Linked DNA regions of Drosophila melanogaster. The protein of the gene in region 1 interacts with the protein of each later gene in a pairwise test. Each region holds a gene or a part of one and is shown in the gene's direction. Other genes may lie near its edges.

The links.
Region 2: the proteins of CG6418 (region 1) and CG3225 interact in a two-hybrid assay, tested with the Drosophila melanogaster proteins (one large-scale study listed by BioGRID).
Region 3: the proteins of CG6418 (region 1) and U2af50 interact in a two-hybrid assay, tested with the Drosophila melanogaster proteins (one large-scale study listed by BioGRID).

What each region holds. Positions count from the first base shown.
Region 1 is NT_037436.4:10,874,176-10,881,850, reverse strand, and holds CG6418 (uncharacterized protein), read left to right. Parts: upstream 1-2,813; 5' UTR 2,814-2,905; coding exon 2,906-5,281; 3' UTR 5,282-5,536; downstream 5,537-7,675. Other genes in the region: CG6409 (uncharacterized protein), read left to right, coding at 1-1,059; Blos4 (biogenesis of lysosome-related organelles complex 1, subunit 4), read right to left, coding at 2,118-2,483, 2,538-2,681; tna (tonalli), read right to left, coding at 7,384-7,515, 7,587-7,675.
Region 2 is NT_033779.5:4,813,679-4,821,003, reverse strand, and holds CG3225 (uncharacterized protein), read left to right. Parts: upstream 1-2,758; 5' UTR 2,759-2,837; coding exon 2,838-2,966; intron 2,967-3,030; coding exon 3,031-3,122; exon of another isoform or gene 3,123-3,188; coding exon 3,189-3,282; intron 3,283-3,340; coding exon 3,341-5,062; 3' UTR 5,063-5,088; intron 5,089-5,112; exon of another isoform or gene 5,113-5,146; 3' UTR 5,147-5,221; coding exon of another isoform or gene 5,222-5,324; 3' UTR 5,325-5,380; downstream 5,381-7,325. Other genes in the region: CG15629 (uncharacterized protein), read right to left, coding at 5,222-5,324, 5,381-5,981, 6,117-6,234.
Region 3 is NC_004354.4:16,354,762-16,361,392, reverse strand, and holds U2af50 (U2 small nuclear riboprotein auxiliary factor 50), read left to right. Parts: upstream 1-2,939; coding exon 2,940-2,985; intron 2,986-3,186; coding exon 3,187-3,750; intron 3,751-3,820; coding exon 3,821-3,909; intron 3,910-3,975; coding exon 3,976-4,098; intron 4,099-4,175; coding exon 4,176-4,637; 3' UTR 4,638-4,697; downstream 4,698-6,631. Other genes in the region: PIG-Q (phosphatidylinositol glycan anchor biosynthesis class Q), read right to left, coding at 179-279, 347-461, 515-630, 697-773, 829-973, 1,035-1,170, 1,235-1,343, 1,407-2,053; sl (small wing), read right to left, coding at 6,607-6,631. UniProt on the Drosophila melanogaster protein: Necessary for the splicing of pre-mRNA. Binds to the polypyrimidine tract of introns early during spliceosome assembly.

The sequences.
Region 1 (7,675 bases):
GCCCTGGTGGCTTTCTGCCACGCAGCACCTCTGGATGTCAAGGAGTCTACCTCTGAGGAGCTCTCTAGGCCCAGTCCCATCAGCCCCGATGTGCTCGTTGATCCCAAGCCCACCGCCAAGGTAGTCTTGCTGAAGGATGCTCCCGTCCTGAATCGCCAGAGGCGTAATGAACCCAAGAAGCCCGACAGCGTGGAGGCCCACGAACAGCTGCATCACTCGCAGCCGGCCGTTCCTATTCATGACCAGAAGCCTTCTCCGGCTGGGCCACAGGACCACAAGCGCAAGAGGGAAGCTCACCACGAGGAGGGTCACCATGGTGACGATGCAGTGCCCCAGAAGGAGGAAGTGAAGCAAGCTCCCGAGGACCATGACGCCAAGAAGGAAAAGAGAGAGGCTCACCATGAGGAGGGTCACCAAGACCATGAGGCTCCTCATAAGGAGGAAGTGAAGCAGGCCCCCGAAGCTCATGATGCCAAAAGGGAAAAGCGAGAGGCTCACCACGAGGAAGGCCACCATGGTGATGATGCAGCTCCACATAAGGAGGAAGTGAAGCAGGCTCCCGAAACACATGAGGACAAGAAGGAAAAGAGGGAAGCTCACCACGAGGAGGGCCACAAGGATGAGGCAGGTGATCGTCCTCAGGTGGAGGATCTTTCGCTGCCCCATGCCCTGCCCGCTGTGGCCCACACCGCCGAGCTGCCCAAGAAGCAGGAAAAGCGCGAGACTGTGGAGAAACCCGACAGCGTGAAGGCCCGTGAGTCGCTCCAGCACAATCCCCAGCGATCCCAGGAGCTCCACAAGGCCATCGAATCTCTGGCCGGTGGAAAGGCGCCGGAACAGCGTCACCAGCGCGATATTCCCGTGCCCACGCAAACCAAAGCCACCACCACCACCGATCTCCCATCCACCACCAAATCGGAGCTGGAAAGCACCACTCCGTCCATCCACAATCTCCACATCCCCCATCCCATTCCCGTGGCCGAGCTCTTCGAGAAGAACAAGCACGCGGATAAGTCCACTTCCAGTTCCGAGGAAAGCAAGGAGAAAGCTAAGGCCTAGGCTTCCTATGTTAAGAGTCGCTAATGGGACCATCACGAGATTTGTAGTCAGCGAAACGAACTAAAATAAACACAAATATTTACATGCTTATATAAAAAGACTGGGCGTTAATTATTTAATAAATATTTATGTGGATGGCTGTCTGTAAAAAGGCAGTTAATATAATAGGCAAAGTAAAAAGTGGTATCTACTGCATTTCAGGCATTAATTATGGGTAAAACTTCCAAGAATTAATTCAATTGTAATATAATTTAATATTACTTCAAGGGAAATATATGAAGCTTTAAATGTACTTCATATTTGTTAATAATACTTCTACACACGTTGGTAATAATAAATTTAAGAACCTTGTACCGATTTTAAACGCCTTCAAGCGCACTAAATTTTATGCGTTAAAGTAGCTTCCTGGTAACAAATTTAATTTGTGTTCTAGACAAAGGCGTACACAGAGAATTGTTATTATAGTAAAGCTGTATTGCAGTTTTTTTTAGAATTTTTCCACGTTATAGGCAGCAATTTAAATGCGAGACTCCACGGATTTCCCCGTATAAATTCGAGCAATTTAACTTCGCGCTTCCCGTAAAAAAAAACATTGAATATTTACGTAAGCACCTCTTCGCTAATTATTCACTAAATATTTATGGCATCCACGTAGCTAACTGCTATTTTATTCACTACTCTAATGTAAGTAATCAGTAATATAAATATAAACAGCCAGACTTAATGTAACAATAAACAACGTATTGTTTGCCTCGGTTTTTTCCATTCTATCTGTAATTTTTCGCTATAATTATAATGACAATTATAACAAGTAGGTGCTTAAATGTAATTACGAAGCTGAATTTAGATGTCTTTGTCTTAATTTGATAGTTATTGCATATTCAAAATGCATTAGAAATGCCTAATTTAAAAACAAAATGCAAATGAAGTTGCTTTTAGAAAGTTAATAAAATTACCTTTATGTTTTTACATCTGCAAAGATCCTCTAACTTCTAGTAACATCTCTATTTTAAGCTTAGTAAAACTAGGTTTCATCTAATTATTCCATATATGTTTAGTCATTTAGCTACGTAGTTCTCCTCCTCCGACTTTCCGAAGTAATCGTCGGATTTGTAGATCTCCACAGGCTGATATTCCTCCTCGACGAGATTGGATCGTGGCAGGGAGCTGAGTGTGCTGGTATCGCTGGCACTTAACTTGGCCTTCAGCGGCTTCAGGAGAAGTCCCTTGAGGCTGTAGTCTGTGACATGCAGCTCCTCCTCGGCTATATCCACAGATCTTTCCACTTCCGACAAATTGGCACTAACTACACCCACACATTGCTCCAGACCATCGATTCTGGCCTTCAGTTGCTCGAAACTGTCTGTGAAACCTAGTATAGAGCAGACGTTGTTGGCCATCATGCCATTGGATTCCGCACGCACCTAAAAGTCAATAAACTATTAGTGAAAACACTAACTTTAAAGAAAACAACTAACCGAAGCCAACAAAGTCTCAAATTCATCCAATCTGGCCAGCATATCCTCGATATTCGTGCACAGTGGATTTATCTCCTTCTCCAGGTCGGCGCTCTGCAGTATCTTTGCATAGTCCCGTGATACATTCTCAATATTCGATTGCATATTTCAGGCGTTGGTTTAATTAGCTGAATATTTGTAAATACAAGCAACAATTGTTTTCACTTTCGACCAGTGTGACCATAATTGAGGAGGGTAAAACTCCTATCAGCTAAAGTGTGACCCCAAAGCATTTGCCCGCTGTCCCGCTGCTGCTCATTCTGGTCATACTGTTTTCTATTGATTTTGGAAATTGTTAGCTTGCAGCATTTGCTTGGATTTGTAGCACAATGAGTGGATATCGAGGCATTGGCGGTGGGGGCTTCCCCTACCGCAAGCCAGCAAGTTCCGGCAACAACATGAACGCCGTACCGCCGCCCCCGATGCTGAATGCCCGTGGCTATTCTGGTTCCCGCGGAGGATTTGGAGGAGCAAGCCGTGGCGGTGTCACCGGGAGCACTACATCAACGTCCAAGCACGGCTACTCCACCTTGGACTCCATCAGCCAGTACACCAATGCCACCAATCTGGTTGGCAAAAGGAAGCACCACACGGACGATGACTATTTCGATGATGACGATGAGCCCCGGGAAAAGGAGATAGAACAAGCCTATATACCGGCACCAGGATCCCCGGGAGCTCCGCCAACGTCGGCCAAAAAGCAAGAGGATTCCGATTCGGATGAGGATCCCCTCGAGCAGTTCATGGCGGGCATCAACCAGCAGGTGGAGAAGGAGAAGCGTCAACAAGCACCTAAGCCGCCAACTCAGGCGGTGAGAGGTGACATCGATGACGAGGACGATGAGGAGAGCTACTATCGCTACATGAAGGAGAATCCCAATGCTGGACTTCGCGACGAGGGATCCGATCAGGAAATCGAATACGATGAGGATGGCAATCCCATAGCCCCACCGAAGAAAAAGGACATTGATCCTCTGCCGCCCATCTACCATTCCGAAATCGAGTACGAACCCTTCGAGAAGAACTTCTACACGCAGCATGACGACATAGCCGCCCTGGATGATGAGCAAGTCCGGGAATTAAGGCGCACACTTGGCGTAAAGGTCACTGGTCCATCACCACCCAAACCAGTCACGTCCTTCGGCCATTTCGGCTTTGATGAGCAACTCATCAAGGCCGTGAGGAAAGCGGAGTATACACAGCCCACACCCATCCAGGCACAAGCAGTGCCCACCGCCCTGTCCGGCAGAGACATCATTGGCATAGCCAAAACTGGTTCCGGTAAGACAGCAGCTTTCATCTGGCCGATGCTAATGCATGTGATGGATCAGAAACAGCTGAAGCCAGGCGACGGACCCATAGGACTTATCCTAGCACCTACACGCGAGCTTTCCCTGCAGATCTACAACGAGGCCAAGAAGTTTGGCAAGGTCTACAACCTGAACGTGGTCTGCTGCTACGGCGGAGGCTCCAAATGGGAGCAAAGTAAAGCTCTGGAACAGGGAGCGGAAATTATTGTGGCCACGCCAGGACGTATGATAGATATGGTCAAGATGAAGGCCACCAATCTGAGGAGGGTCACTTTCCTAGTGCTTGACGAGGCCGACCGTATGTTCCACATGGGCTTTGAGCCCCAGGTTCGCTCCATCTGCAACCACGTGCGTCCAGATCGTCAATGCCTAATGTTTTCGGCCACCTTTAAGAAGCGAATTGAACGTCTGGCCAGAGATGTGCTTTCCGATCCCGTGAGAATAGTGCAGGGAGACCTGAACGAGGCCAATCAGGACATTACACAGTCTGTGTACGTCTTCCCCAATCCCCTGCAGAAATGGAATTGGCTGCTGTGCCATCTGGTGAAGTTCCTTTCCGAAGGAAGTGTCCTGATCTTTGTGACTAAAAAAGTAGATGCTGAAACGGTGTCTAACAATCTTTTAATTAAGGAGTACAATTGTCTTTTACTCCACGGCGATATGGACCAAGCGGACAGAAACAAGGTCATCACTCAGTTTAAGAGAAAAGAGTGCGATATTCTAGTGGCCACCGACGTGGCAGCCAGAGGATTGGATATACCCCATATTAGGAATGTGGTAAACTACGACACAGCCAGGGACATTGAAACCCACACGCACAGAATTGGAAGAACGGGCAGAGCCGGTGAAAAGGGTAATGCATACACTCTAGTCACCGATAAGGACAAGGAGTTCGCCGGACATCTGGTGCGTAACTTGGAGGGAGCCGATCAGCTGGTGCCCGACGATCTGATGGAGCTGGCCATGAAGAGTTCCTGGTTCCGCAGCTCACGCTTCAAGCAGGGCAAAGGCAAGAGACCAACAAATACCCACACAGGATTGGGCTATCGGGAGAAAGGAAATGGAGGTGGTGGCTATGGTTCGGCTGGTGGCTCGGAGTCCACTGCGAGTGTGTCTGCCCACAGTCCTTCCGACGGACCCTCTAGCAAAGCCTTTTCGAGCTCGGGACCAGCCACAGATCGCTATACAGCAATGAGGGAGGCATTCCGATCCCAGTATAACAATCAGTTCCGTGCGTCCAGCGATCGCACTTGGGAGAAAACTCTGCCGGAGTCGGGAGTTTTCGCTGCGCCAATGGCACCGCCCTCATCATCAACACAGGGTGCTTCCGCCTCATCGGCCAACAACAGCAGCAACCAGGATGCCAAAAGAGCCAAGAAGAGTCGCTGGAATTGAACGACGAGCCCAATAAACTGATGCTGCTATTTGGTTTATTTCTCTTCATATTATTTAATGTGTATTTGCTTTTGTTCCATCGTTTAAAATTACAACTTATGAACTAAATTTAAACATATTATATATAATCAGATATATACCATGTTCATTCATAAAGATTACGTTAGTTAAATACTCGTATGTACAACTCTCTTCCTTCGCAGCCAGTTCCAGCGAACGATCCCACAGATCCAAATAAAAATATTCATTAATTGTAATCATGGTTATGTGTATTTTATTTTGAATAAAATCACATTTGCGCATCCCAACTGCCTATCGATATTGTTAATCGTTAATCGTGTCATTTTAATTTTAATTTTTCCATTTCATTAAGCGAGAGAAGAAATCGAACTGGAATATCGAAATCTTGAAGCTAAATTGTTCGTTTAATCATTATGAAATATTGTTTTACAATGAAACCACTACGAATTTTGTTTCTTTTTCGCTTTTGGATATACGTGTTTATATTATAATTAAATTACGTGTGTTTTTGATAACATTGAGAAGAGATTTGAGATTCATTTAACTACCACATCGAGGCGATTTCGCGTAAATTTTCGACTTTTTCGATTTATTCGATTTTTTTTTCGATTTGTTTCGTTTTGTTAAGCGCTGAACGGGGAATAAGCCGGGGCAAAGCTTAAAAATTTCGCTATATTTGAATATCATATCAGATACGTACATGAATATATATATATATTCCGTTATATATAGTTCGCGTATATACTCTATTCAAAGACTCGTCGGTGTGTGGGTGTTATACATATATATATGTATATATATATATATTTGTATATAAAAATTGGTCCATGTTAACCACATCGTACGAAACAAATCGGAAAATCAGGAGAAAATCCAAAAAGAAAACGGGGGAAAATTGTGTGGGAAAATAAGACGCAAACGAAAATTATAACACTTTAATTTTAGTTTTGAAATACTTTTTGTTTTCTTCATTTATTATTATCATTATTTAAATGTATTAATTAGCTTTTGTGTGTTTTTTTTTGGGGGGAGGGGTTCTGTTTTTTGTTGTTGCCGCATATATAACATACATATCCAATATATACAATATATTTTAGATCTAGCATTAAATTTGATTTACACTTTTAATAGTTTGTTTCTCTCTTCCACTAATTATGCAGTTTCGCTTTGTCACTTAATTGTACACATTTACTTTCTGTTCGTTATAGTTAATATTATCTTAATATTTCCTCAGCTGGTCTGTTAAATTTCGTTTATCGTTTACCAAGCTAAATCATTTACTTTTAATATGTAGATAGGCTTTAAAAAATAATTAAAATTATGCAACAATTAAAATGTAAATGTTTTCATTTTATAAATGTAATAAAATTGTTGGGATTTCACTTGTATGTATTTTGTGTTTCTCGATTTTCGTTTTTGTTTTGTTTTTCTTTGCTCATGTTTTGTTGTTGCGCTGATTTAATAGATTGTTTTTTTTTTTTTTAATACTTTGTAAATGAACAAGAAACATTTTGCAACAAAAGTCTGGGATAAGGCAAAACAAAAAATGTAATTTTCAAATAAACGAACAAAGGACTTTCTGCTGCATTTTAAATTCGTAAATTTCATTGAAGGAATTTTCATGCTCTCAACTGAATTGGTTTCTTTTTTTTTTAATTTTTTATATGGTATAATGACTGTTTGTTAATTTTTACGCTTTAGTGTGCATTTTTTTTGTAGTTTTCATGGGTTTTTCTCAGTTAGCTTTAAATTAAATGCCAATTAATTTAATTAATTAATTTTTAAATCACATTTCATTGTTTTTCAACACGGGCAAATTCAAATTTCCGCTTCGATTTCTCATCCAGTGTGTTGTTTGTAATAGTTTATCCATTTTGTTTTTTGTTTTTGTTTTTTTTTTTTGTGTATTTTTACTTGTTGCTGCTGTTGGTTTGTGTGAGGAAACGAAAATGTTGGTTGAAGTACGCGACTGGCGTCTAGTGCACATTTCATTAAAATTAATAATACTATATACAATTTATGGTATTCTGCCACTTCAATTCTCCAACTCTCTCCCAGCTTCGCCCCTGCCTTTTTTTGGCCTAGTCGAATAACGTGGCCAGCAAGTCGTCGCTGGCGTTGTTGTTGCTGCTGCCACTCGAGGGCGGCGTGTTAAGATCGGGCTGAGGATCCAGATAGGACAGAATCTCCATGGGATCCACATCTTGCAGCAGCTATAAATGATTTCGAAAATGCGTAAATTAATATTTTTCCCATTGTTCAGAGGTGTAAGCTTTATACTCACATTCAGATCGTGGGCTGTATCGTTTATGGCCGCTGCCGCCGCATCGAAGCTCTGCAGCTCGGCACTCAGATCGCTTTCGCTGAACTTCA
Region 2 (7,325 bases), on another chromosome or scaffold:
ATTTTCAACGACTTTTATCCCTGCACTTTCTCACTGTGCGTGTGCTCTTTGTGCGCGCTCGTCCTCTTTCACTGTTTACCTCCCACTGTCGCGCTGCAGTTGTGTTGGTGCTCTCCCGTGCTGGTGTTGCCATCCCCATCGAAAAGGCTCTCTTCCTGCCACTCTCTCACTCCAACTCCTCGGTGAGACGGATGAGGAGTTCGGCTTTTGTTTTGCACGTTGCCATTGCCCAGCGGTAACTGTACACCGTGCCGGATTGGGATATGCGTTTTCAAAACACATTAGCGGCAACAAAGGCAGAAGTGGGAAAAAAAAACTGTAAAAAACAGTGGAAAATGGCCACGGCGTCAGCGCAATACGTATACGCCACGTAGCGCCGCCAGTTTTTGGAGCACGTGTCACCAAAGCCGGTCGCTCTCTTTCCACCTTTCACTCTCTCTCTGTCTCTCTCCCTCCAGCTCTCAGGACACAGGCGGCCTGTTGTTTTTGTTTACGCCGCTCAGCTGTGAGGACCTCAAAATCCTTGTTGCCGAAAAAATCCATTTTAATCGCCGCCGTTTGGAGTGATATGCCATCCGAAATCCGGCCAACTTGACCGGAAAGCCATACGGGCGGCCCAAGGTCGCGTGTGCAATTGACATTTTTATTGACATTAAGTGGTGCAGGGACTAGTTTCGGTTTCAGTAGTTCCAGTAATTAAAGCGGATGAAGACGCGCCAAAAAACAACGCCCGGAGTGCTAGGACTCCAAAATGCACTGTGCGAAATTGAAAGCTGATATGGGATATCCTAACTACGATGAAAAATTGGGATGCAAAGGTAAGCAGAAGATAACCTTACTTTTCCATATTAATTTCCAATTAAGCGTCACCATTTTTTTTCGTGTGCACTTTGTGTGTGCTGCATTTGAGTTGCGACTTTGCCGCCCTGCCACATGCATCATGAATCACGCAAATTCGCGGCACGCAAAGACAATGACGCCAGCCCCTTTTCGCACCACTCGCTGGGTGTCGAGGACGCACAACTCCGGCGTTTGTAATCAGGGTCGTCAACGCGAAACTATAGTTATAATACGTAGATAGAACAAAAGGAACGTACCCTCCACTGGCATTTCCAAGGAAACTTTGCTCGTAAAAGCCGGAATAACAGTTAGCATTCATGCCGCCCTTTAAGTTTTGTGGCATTTAGTCAGGTGCCCAAAGACGGGGGAATCGGAATTTGGATACCGGCAGTGGAGTGCCGACAGCCGTTTGACAGTAAAACTCTGGCCTTGGGCGCATCTATTAAAATTTATATGCAACCGAAACTGGAACTGGACGCCAAACGGACAAGATACACACTGTGCGAAAATGTGACAGCCTCCCATAACCCGCAATGTAACTAAATATTCACTTAACTACTATTAAGTGGGATAGAAGGCAAATGAAATGACTAATCCATATGCACAGCGGAAATTATTATATTTTAGTATTTGCAATTTAAGATGTAGTACTAAATACTGAAGCATCGTTCTTAACACTTTTCGAAACTATAATCTTTCTCATGTAGCGAAGATACCTCTTTACCTGTGATGCTGATATCAGCTTGAGTGGAAAGTGAAAACATTTTTTCTCAGTGCCTTTTAGTTGAAGCACTTTCCGCGGACGGCGGTGTTGACAAACTGCTCGCAGAGTTTTTGGCTTTCGCTTGGCTTTGGCGACTTGGCGCCTCGTCCTTGGCATGAAGTTCGCCGCTGGCCTTTAATTAGCTTTTCTCGGATTACTCATACGCCATGGGGGCTGGGCTCGGGTCGAGTGGAGTGGAGTGGAGCTGGGCTCCATTGTTTCAGCACTGGCATGCGGATGTGGTTGGTCAAACGTGCATGTCGGGCACGTGTTTTGCTTTGGCTTGAAATTGGTGGTTGGGTTCGGATCGCATCGGATGGGGTTAAAGTTAAAGCGAGCGTTCTTAATGTCAGGGTCAATGCAGAATACGGGGGTCCTGCATGTGTGGAATCGACGGCCATCTTACTCGTCCCAATATTGGCGGCATGCATATAATACCCACTGACGGTGCATAAATCAAAATATATACAAAAAAAAAAATACAAGCGGGCAAAACAATGTGTGTGTTTTGTTGCTCGAGAGATACAATACAATATTTATTCAAAAGCAATTGGCCGGGCGCTTCTGTCGCCGACAGCTGCACAAAACTCGGGGGACACTTTTGACACACACACGTGGCCAGGGCGACCTTATAGTACATAATGAGTTTGCTGGGTATGCAGAGGAGCAAAGTGGCCTTGCCACTGGCAATTAGAGTTATTTTCACTAGCAATAGGGGACATGTCGGTGCTGCAACGTGCCCGCAAAATGGACAAAAACATGTGCATGAATAATACAGGTGAATGTTATGGACATTTGCCACCATTGGGGCTCGTGAAATGGTCGACTAAATCAAATATATTATAATTTGTGGGTACCAAAGGTATAAGCTTGAGGTACTAGCCAAACAATTTCTAAAAACTAATATTTTGCATTTTTAAATCTTAACTAAAATATAGTGAAATTTGATTATCCTCTTTTCTTATAGACCTCAACTAGGCGACTGTATACTTAGTGATTAAGTAAATACTTAGGTTTTTGGGCAATTCAACTTATTATATAGTTGATGGTTATCGTTAATCGAAATTTCAATACAATGCAATTTCCCGCCAAATAAAAGTGTGACCATTAGTTTATATTAAACGAAATTCCTAACATTCTTTTGCGCGCTTTGGTATTTTGCACCAATGCATTGAGTCCATCAGCTGTTTATTTAATTTCAAAACTGAATCTATAACGAAGTAAATAATTGAAAATGAGCACTTTTAAGCCAAAGTTCCTAAAACCCGAGACGGACGATGCAATCACAGATAGTGCCGGTGGTGAACAGCAGTCCTCCGCCTTTGTATTCAATGTCAATCACAATATGGGACTCATGGAGCAGGTGGGCTTACAAAATATTTCGTAAACATTTGCTAGAATAACAAATTAAACTTAAATTATTACAGAGGGAACGTTTGCCCATTCGTCAGTACCGGGATCAAATACTTTACTGCTTGGAAAAGCATCAAGTGGTCATACTAGTGGGTGAAACAGGCAGGTTTGTATGGAATTCCATGAGCTTCAAAGTAATGCTTCTAACTCTGTGGTTTTTCATATTTCCCAGTGGCAAGAGCACCCAGGTGCCACAGTATTTGTATGAATGGGGCTGGCACACCAAGGGACTCATTGGCATCACCGAACCACGACGCGTTTCCACCGTAAGTAATCCTAAAGCAAAGCAACTATAAAATCTAAAACTAAAGACTTCATTTCCAGGTTACGCTGGCTAATCGCGTGGCACAGGAACGCGGCGAACTGGTAGGTGACACGGTGGGCTATGTAGTTCGCTTCCTGGAAAGCATGAGCTCCTGTACCAAAATCAAGTTCATGACCGAGGGCATCTTGCTGAGGGAAGTCCTAGCCGATCCGCTGCTCACCCAATATGGTGTTATCATCGTGGACGAGGCGCACGAGCGGAATATGCTCACCGACATGATTTTGGGACTGCTCAAGAAGATCCTTCGCAAACGCAGCTCGCTCAAGCTCATCATTTCATCGGCCACCATAGATGCAAGCTTCTTCAGCGAGTTCTTCAGCTGGCCAGGATCGGGCGAAGTGAGCGTTAAGCTAAGCATTGAAGGTCGCATGCATCCTGTGAGTAATTTCTATCTGAACGAACCCTGCGCCGATTATGTGAAGGAAACTGTGGAGACCGTCTGGAAACTGCATCAAAAGGAGCCGCCTGGCGACATTTTGGCCTTCCTAACTGGCCAGGAGGAAGTCCTGGAGGCGCTGGATCTTCTGCGCGAATACATCGCCAGTTCGGAACAGGAGAATCTCAAGGTGCTGCCCATGTATGGTAGTATGTCGAGCACTGATCAGTTGTCGGTATTCTTTACCCCGCCCAAAGGAACCCGCAAAGTGGTGCTGGCCACGAATATAGCAGAGACCTCCATCACCATTCCGGGCATTGTTTATGTGATAGACTGCGGCTACGTCAAGGTAAAATGGTACAATCCCAAAACCTGCAGTGACAGTTTGGTTATAGTGCCCGTCAGCAAGGCGTCGGCCATCCAGAGAGCAGGACGAGCGGGTCGTATGCGTCCCGGCAAGGTCTATCGTTTGTACACTAAATCAGACTATGAAGCACTAGCTCCTCGGCAGCCACCCGAAATGCGACGCAGCGAATTGAGCGGCGCTATCTTGCAGTTAAAGGCGCTGGGCATCGGGAACATATTGCGCTTTGATTTCCCATCGCCACCACCGGCACAGAATCTACTTTCCGCACTGGAGAGTCTATTTGCCTTGGACGCCATCGATGAGCAGGGCAATCTGACGAAGCCCGTGGGTTACCTGTTGGCCGAACTCCCCTTCAGCGCTATGCTCTCCAAAATGCTCTATGTTTCCGGTCAGATGGGCTGCTCCGAGGAGATCATAACCATCATTGCGTTGCTGCAGGTGCAGTCTATATTTTCGCGCCCAGCTTCAGCGGTTGCCCAACAAAGTGGACGCATTGCACATCGAAAATTCGAAGTTGCGGAAGGGGACTTTATTACGATGTTGAACGCTTACACTGGCTTCGTGGAGGAGGGCATGACCAAGGAGTTCTGTGGCCAATACTTCCTCATCTACAGGAATCTTAAGAGGGCCCACTCGCTGAGGGAGCAACTCATCACAGTGGCCAGAAAGAAGTACGGCATTCCAATCTTCTCGTGCAAGGGCGATGTGGAAAAGTTGTGCAAGTGCATCACCGCCGGCTTCTTCACACAGGTGGCCTATCTGCATCACTCTGGAGTTTATAGACAAATCAGCAGCGGCACTGAACTGGCCATTCATCCGAACTCCACTCTCTACACACTTCCTCAAGCTCAGTACGTGGTCTATGGGGAACTGCTCCAAACGACGAAATTGTTCATGAACTACGTGACCGTAATCAAGAGAGAGTGGCTGACGGAGCTGGCGCCGCATTATTACCAACAGACCACAGTGCGGGATTAGCAGGAACTAAAGCCTTAATGATAGGTGTAAGTCTATTAAAATAGTTCATTAAATCAAATAACTAAGTTTATTGTAAAATTATAGGTGAAACGATGCCGCCTCTTGAAAAAGAACTTAAGCTTAGGTAATGGATTCCATATGATGATTCCTATTGTGTGTTTAACCAGCGGCGACGCGCCCTCGTCCCTGAAACATCATCATAGACTCGGGTCCACGGATGACACGCGACATCAGCTCCCAGCACATTTTGGCGGGCAAAAGACTGAGAAAACCAGCATTAATTACATTGTATATAACTATGTTAAATAGACTACTTACCATTTGAGAGGAGTGAGCAGGCGAATAGAGTTGGGCAGCACGCACCACACCTCGTTGCAGCGCACGGCGTTCTCGATGCGATCCGCCACATACTGCGGCTCCAGCATGGGCATCATCCGCGGCCGAACACCCGAAAACATGCCCGTGTTGATGTAGTACGGGCAGATCAAACTCATTTGGATTTGATCATAGCCATGGGCCTTCAGATCGGTGAGCAAACTCTCGTGGAAACCGATGCAGGCGTATTTGGTGGCCGCGTAGTCACTGCATCCGTAGGTGCCCAGCATTCCAGTTACCGAGCCCACAGTAACGATATGACCACGATTATTGCGCATCATGTGAGGCAGAAACGCTTTCACGGTCCAGTAGTGCGATATGATGTTAATGTTGTACGTGTTCTGGATGACCCGATCGTGCAGCTCCCAGAAGGGTTTGCAGCACACGATACCGGCATTGTTAATCAATATGTCGACGGGACCAACCTCCTCGGTCACCTGGCTGGCACGCTGGTAGATCTGCTCCCGATCTGAGATGTCCACAACGTAGCCCTTGCAGTTGTCATAACCATGTTTGGCCAACAAATCCACAGTTGTCTTTATGGCTGTGCGGAAAATTATGATCAAATATTGTTTAGCTAATCAAATTGTAAATGTAACAGCTTTCACTAGCCGTCGGGTTTTTTGACCCGCCTGGCAGAAGCTGTGACGGCGTCATTAGCAACTAGGTGTGATTTTACCTTCTTGATTTATATCCCAGATGACAATGCGGGCCTGAAGGCGAGCAAAGTTTAGGGCAATCAAACGTCCAACACCACCGCCTCCTCCTGTGATGAGCACCACCTGGCCGGAGATGTCCTGTTATGGATAATAATGAACAAGCAATCGTTTATTATAATATTGAATTTCGCATACATACATATGTAAGCAAACCTATTTAGCATACGAAAAAGGTGCGACAGACTGGTAATAGTGCATGTGGAATGACTTTTGCATAATTTAAGCTTAAGTTTGTTACTTTGGCCAACGAATGTCTTGCCACATATGCTTGAATCATAATATAAAACAGATGTTGCAAGACTGTCACCAGCTTTTACAACAAAGTTCAATCAATTTGAGCTGGGTTCAATCCCCTACAGCAGGGCATATCGGTTTCCATCGCTGAAATGCAGCAAAGGAAGCTATTTTCTGCTGTCTGCTAGTCAGATCTCAACTTTTTCTTTTGAATTGCTGGTAATTTATATGTACTTCTCTATGCAATTTATTTTTGTTTTTTTTTTTGGTGTGCGTAGAGCGTGCATTTTGCAACAACAGCAGTGACTAGGGAAAAGGCAATGTTTTGAATGAGGAAAAACTTGTTGTCATACTAAGTTGGTTACTGCTCATGGGACTCATCGGACTGTCAAGTCACGGATATTTTTGGCCACAATCCGAAGATGCGTTTAACTTGGACAAACATAAATAGCCAAAATGTAAATGGCTCAAATTCAATGTCAGCCATGGACTTTGGGTAATTGAAGACAAAGCTCCATTAAGGCAAATATTTAAACAAAATAGTTTAACTTTGCAGAAGCCAATAAATATTTAAAGTAGAAGAGGGTTCATTCATGAATAGCTAGCAAAGCGTGTGAACAAAATTGTTTGCCATCCAAGCGTATCAAAACAAAGAAAGGGGTTTGTTCAAACGCTTTTTACGACAATTTTATAAGGCTTGCAAGCGGAGTAAGTAAATTGGAAAGTTTTCAGACTTCGTACAAAATATTTGAATTAAAATATAAGTTTTTCAAGCTGAGAGTATTGTATATTCGGCTGCTTCGAAAATAGCAAATAGCGATTTGTTTTCATTACCGCCAAACTGCGCGTGGCTCATTAAGATTTGTGAAATGGCCAAAACTGACGGTTTGCAAAATAAAGCAAAAAAAAAAACAAAAGACTTGGCTTTAAGGTAG
Region 3 (6,631 bases), on another chromosome or scaffold:
ATTATGGACCTTGTACACTGATTGAAAATTGTTATCGATAATTAGATTCGATTTGTTTTGTATTGATAGTAATAAAAAACATCAAATGAACAAATGAAGTTTCAATAAATAAAATGTAAATGTACTTTTAAAACATGTTATGTTTACTTCTAAATATATTCTACATATATGGCAAGGATTATAAAGTTGTAATTTTATACACTGTCACGTTGATTTTCTGTTGTTTGTGCATCAGGAAAGCCCTTTCGTGATGTGAAACATCTTTGATTTGAATACAATCTGCGAGTCAATAGAAAAATCATTATATAAATATCATTTTGTGCATCCACATTCTTTACACAATTACCTATTTCATGACATCCTCTTAATAACCGTTTTATACAGACTTCAATCGGGAGATACATCAGTTTTCTTCGCAAAAAATGAAAGACACTTAGAGTAGCAAATGTGAGCGCCTTCAGCTATAAAGAAAGTTGTATTATTGCGAAATTCAACGATTATATATTAAACTTACAGCAGCAAAAACTATATAGTAGACAAGGGTAGTGGGTAACAAAAACAGAATAGCCGAGAAAAATATGGTAGCTAGATATAATTGCCGATTCATATAGTTGTGGGACTCAGTGCGACCTGAAAAGTATAAGAATTGGTAAAACTTAACATAGTGCTTAGATTGGCAAAAACCTTAAAACATACCTTTTAAAATGTTGTAACGATTGCCTCGAACCACTTGCCATAGAACAGAAAGACCTCTTCTTTCCACATTGTAGAGGCTATGAAAATAATATTATTGTTTGAAAGCGGTCAATATATATTGCAGAAACTTACACTTTGGTATAAATATAGAAGCAATGTGAATGTAAGCCAATAACGGATATTAAGTCCACTAGTAAGGCTATCTGGAATGTAAAACCCAAGCATCCAATCATTCCAATGGCCAAGAAAACTTGTCGTACTAAAGGTTCAATGAAATCTGTAGTAAGAGAACAATGTTATCAATCTTATCATGCATTTAAGTAGACCCAAAAGCTTACCCAAAAATGTTGACCACAGCTCAATATGATATTTGAAGCAGTCGAGAAAGAAATTATTTAAATGTATATTTAGCTTGAGGCCAATGGGACTGCCCTCTAATACTTTCAACAGGCCGTACAATTCGTCAATAACGTACTACAATAGATAAGCAATAAGTTAATGTCACATATGTAAAATCAAATTTGTATGGCGGACATACATGAGATATTTGTATTAGAAAATCACCAGGCTGTGTGGCAAGCGTAAATAGTATTAGCATCAATATAATCCCCAGTATTCTATCAAGAACTATATTAGCCGGTCGAGATCTGCTTGATAGAAACTAAGTAATAGTAATATGATATTTAGCATCATCGATTTAACCCAACTACCTTTTATCACATGCTGTCTGCCATTCCTTGAAATGCTTATAAATAGTTGTGTGAACCATAATGCTGTTGATAAATACATTTTCCGCCATATATTCGAATATCTTAATTGGAGAATCGGCAATGAGTGTTAAGCCATATTGGATACTCTTGTTGGCATTATTGTTTGCCTTGTTTTGGTTGTCAGCAGTTGGTTGATTCAGTCTAGAGAGCTCCAGAAAGTCGCAATCGGTGCTATCATTATCATTGTATTCCAAAGATCGCCTATTTTCAGATTCACCAGATACGAACAGATTTCGTACCATTTGCTTGTCGTAGAGAATCACTTTAATGTGCTTCAGATATTCGGGCGTAATGCCCAAATAAACCAGTGTTATATTCGCCTGACTGCTATTGTATGTGAAACACAATCGCATATTGAACTTAAGAAATTGGTTCTGGTCCGCATTGAAATCCTCGTTGAGAATAGAGCCCAGGAAACGCAGATTGCCCTTTTCATGATTTATGGCCTTGTCACTGAACTCCAAATCTGATGCTTCCAGCACGTAATACGATACGACATTATCTTCATTTATTTGCACTTGGCCGTACAAATTGGTTGACTTATTGAGGTAATAATAGTTGACCGGTAAATATATCTTAATGCTCATAATATAATCGATTAACTGACAAAAACACCGGTATTTCTTCTCTCAATCAAAACAAAACAAATACAGCATGCTTGAGAAGGTGGTATACAATTGAGTGTGACGTCACCGTTTGTTGATTAACAAACTAGGGAGTACAGAATAGTTGCAGAATCGTATATGTCAGATGTCGCTTAAGCGTGTATTTTTATGTATGTATGTATATTATTATTATTATATTATTATGTATGATTATGTATAATAATTTATATAAATATTTTGCAGTAATGGACACCCTACAAGTGAAATTTATGTCGATAAATCGTTCAACGACACTTCGAAACTGCCAGTGTCGCACTGTTAGCCCTCGGCTATCGGTGGTCCATTCCATTGTTTCTCAGTTTTCACGTGTTCTTTTTTAAGTCGTTTCTTTTATATTTGCGTTAATATACGCAATAGAGGGACACATTTTTCTTCGGCATTTTAAAGAGTTAAAATTGTTTTCGTGTTAAGAAATATTAATTTTATTTAGCAACAAGAATGGGATATGATGGTGAGTTCAATGAAGAGAGCAAGTAAAGGGCCGCACTGAATTTGATGCCCAAGTGTGCATAAATAGATGTTTATGTATATATATGTATGCATACATACATACAACTATAAATGTATGCAAAGAAAGTGAAAAATGTGCAACTGAATTTGTTTATCGCGGCAACGCAGCCTGCTCCTTGTTTCATTTTTTTTTATATGTAAAAAAGGTCTGTTGAATTAGGGTTTTGTTAATAATCGCATTCATTCTAGACCGGTTGTTTTTTTTTCTATTTCGATGTTTCGCTCATTCATACATTCATACATACGTACATACGTTGAGTTTTGAGTCTATTTTTAATAGAATACAGTGCATTTCGGGATGGAAATGAATTTTGAAGATAAATATGTGAATATCGACAATAAAGGCGAGTTCTTATGACCATAAATGCTTCTAACCATACACCATACACCGAAATGTGTCCTTGTTCATGGCTTACATATGCGCGTGTGCCCGTGTGTATGGCTAAATTTGTGTGCTCTTCCTGGGTGAGGTGGACAGGGACGGGACACATTTGCGAAAATAGCGATTGGAGAATCAACATATTTAATTCCTATCGTATTTGCAGACCGTGAACGCGATCGCGAGAGACGCCGACATCGTTCCCGCTCTCGGGACCGCCATCGCGAACGCTCCAGGGATCGACGCCATCACCGGAACTCGAGGCGCAAGCCGTCGCTTTATTGGGATGTACCGCCGCCGGGATTCGAGCACATCACCCCGATGCAATACAAAGCCATGCAGGCGTCCGGACAAATCCCGGCAAGCGTTGTGCCGGATACACCACAAACGGCAGTGCCCGTGGTCGGATCGACAATTACCCGACAGGCGCGTCGCCTGTACGTTGGCAACATTCCGTTTGGCGTCACCGAGGAGGAAATGATGGAGTTCTTCAACCAACAGATGCATTTAGTTGGGCTCGCCCAGGCGGCCGGCAGTCCCGTCTTGGCATGCCAAATTAACTTGGACAAAAACTTTGCTTTCCTCGAATTCCGATCGATTGATGAAACCACCCAGGCCATGGCATTCGATGGCATCAATTTGAAGGGGCAGAGCTTAAAGATTAGGCGTCCGCACGATTACCAGCCCATGCCGGGTATAACAGATACGCCGGCAATTAAGCCCGCTGTTGGTAAGTAAACAAATATCCTAATTTTCATTGGCACACGGTCTAATCAAATAACCACCATTCCACATTCCAGTTTCCAGTGGAGTTATTTCGACAGTGGTTCCGGACTCGCCTCACAAAATCTTCATCGGAGGTCTACCAAACTATCTGAATGACGATCAGGTTGGTTCAACATTGAAACGTTTCCATTCGAATTCTCATAAACATTTGTATCTTCTGCTGCTGTAGGTTAAGGAACTGCTTTTGTCGTTTGGCAAGCTACGAGCCTTCAACCTGGTTAAGGATGCCGCTACTGGGTTGAGTAAGGGTTATGCTTTCTGTGAATATGTCGATCTTAGCATCACAGATCAGGTACGAAACTACTTCAAAATTGCAAACAAACACAATCTTAACTCTAACTCTCTTTCGATTCCTAATAAAATTTGTAGTCGATTGCTGGCCTAAATGGAATGCAGCTGGGTGACAAAAAACTGATTGTCCAACGAGCCAGTGTGGGCGCCAAGAATGCCCAGAACGCGGCCAACACCACGCAGTCCGTAATGCTCCAAGTGCCGGGCCTGTCCAATGTGGTGACCTCTGGACCGCCGACTGAGGTTCTTTGCTTGCTCAACATGGTCACGCCCGATGAACTGCGGGACGAGGAGGAGTACGAGGACATCTTGGAGGACATCAAGGAGGAGTGCACGAAATACGGAGTCGTGCGGAGCGTGGAAATTCCACGTCCCATCGAGGGCGTCGAAGTTCCCGGTTGCGGCAAGGTCTTTGTCGAATTCAACTCGGTTCTCGACTGTCAGAAGGCGCAGCAAGCACTTACTGGACGTAAATTCAGCGACCGCGTTGTGGTCACATCATATTTCGATCCCGACAAATACCACAGACGCGAGTTTTAGATACAAGTAAATCATATATCTCACATTCACCATTTGTCCAATAAATATCAGAATAAAAGTAAAATTTTGACTACGAAAATACGAAGATACCATGAAATAGAAAGGGATAGTCGCTTATTTCATTGTGAGCCGGAAGTTGGAAACGAAAACTCCAAATGCTTCTAATGGGTTGAAACTGTACGTGAGTTTAAGGGTATATAACATAACTACTTCATTCGGTGGCTTCCTCAATTCTCAGAAATCCAACATATAGAAACAACTTTGTATATATATAGACAGCTAACGCCGGATAAACATTTATTTGGCATTAAATAATTATGAATGTATACGTATGGTGTGTGTTTACTGAATTATAAGGCAATTACAAAAACAGTTGAAAATATCTATTAGACGTACAGATACAAATCACTTAAAAACGGAACGTACAAATGAAATACATTTTGGGTACATATACACATACATATATACTAAGCATGATTTGCTAATGCGCTCAAACGCGCAAAATGTCCAAATTAGAACTATTGTGCGAATGGAAACAGCAGAATGTTTGTTAAATAATTAAATGCGAGTGCAAGACAAATGATATCGATCGTTTCAGTGGGGCATTCGTATGGAATGCAAATAGTTTCAGATTAAAATCCTAAATGATTCGCATAGGGAGCACAATTTCCACTTCTTAAATCGACTAGTGCATTTTATGAATATCTAGATATATAAATTATATAATGCATTTAGTAATAATACGTCTATTGAACTTAGGCTTTAGATATTTAGATTTCGCAGTTTAGAGAAGAAGCTAAGTTAGAACTTTGATTTTATAAAAAATAGATATCTTTGAGCTATATTATTATTTTTCAAATATTTGTTATTTTAGCAACAGGTGTACTTCAATAGTTAACGTTCAAACATTTAAAATTTCGATCATTTCGAATTTTAAGGCACGTTCATTTAAATGTAATTGAATAATTACATTTTATTTTAATATTGTTTGCAAACTTTTAGTTTTTGTAACATTAGCTACAACAATCGTGGTTAAATAACATAGACACAATTATGTGGTATATCGTAATTGTTAAACAACTGGAAGACATATGTAATCAAAGTGGTTTAAATTTCCTTTGCCCTTTTTTTTTTATAAATTGTATTATTACTTTAAGCTTTAAAAGAGAAAATAAAAAAGGTAAATGCTAAATGATTGAAATGCTGTTTGAGTATTTGTGCTAAGAGAAAGGTCTAAAATAGTTTTCCAGATAACATATGAAAGTGGTCTATTTTCTTCAGTTAAAAGTCTTTAAGAAGATTGTAATATAATACTTATGAAAAGCTGATCCTGAAACTGAATATCAAATGCCCATTAAATTGATGCCAATTGAGCTGTTTATGAATTGTTTCTATTTCTAATTTTGGAATCAACTTAATGTACTTAACTTTTGATGGTAAAACTGGTAAAATGGAAATAGCTCAAGTTCCCTAAATCGAAATCAAATCAAATCTGGTTTGCTTATGCTTATAATGAGGTGACGAATAGTTAAAACATATTCGTATCATTCTATTCTCCTGAATCAATCTCACGCACAAATACAACATTTAGAGGACAACAGACTTGAATGCTTAGTGTTATGGAAAAGTGTACAAATTATACGGATTACATAAACTTGATTTCAGTTCCAGGAGTTCAGAATTCATTGTTACCATTTGAATACTCATTGTATAGTATGAACTAACCATAACTGCTGATGTGTATAGAAAGTAATCTAAATCTAAATCATACGTTTCAGATCCTAAGCTTTTTAGACAAATTACAAGTGAGAGAATCAGGTTCATAGTTCGATGAAATGTTCTTATGTACAAGTTGTTGATAAATTGCTTTTGCGAATTAAGTTCGCTTTCCTTTTGATCTAGCGCAATTGTTTTCGCAAACACTCGATTTGGAATCATTGATATTGATCCAGCTAACTCAGCAATCCTCTTACGGTGCGGTAACATTTGCTATC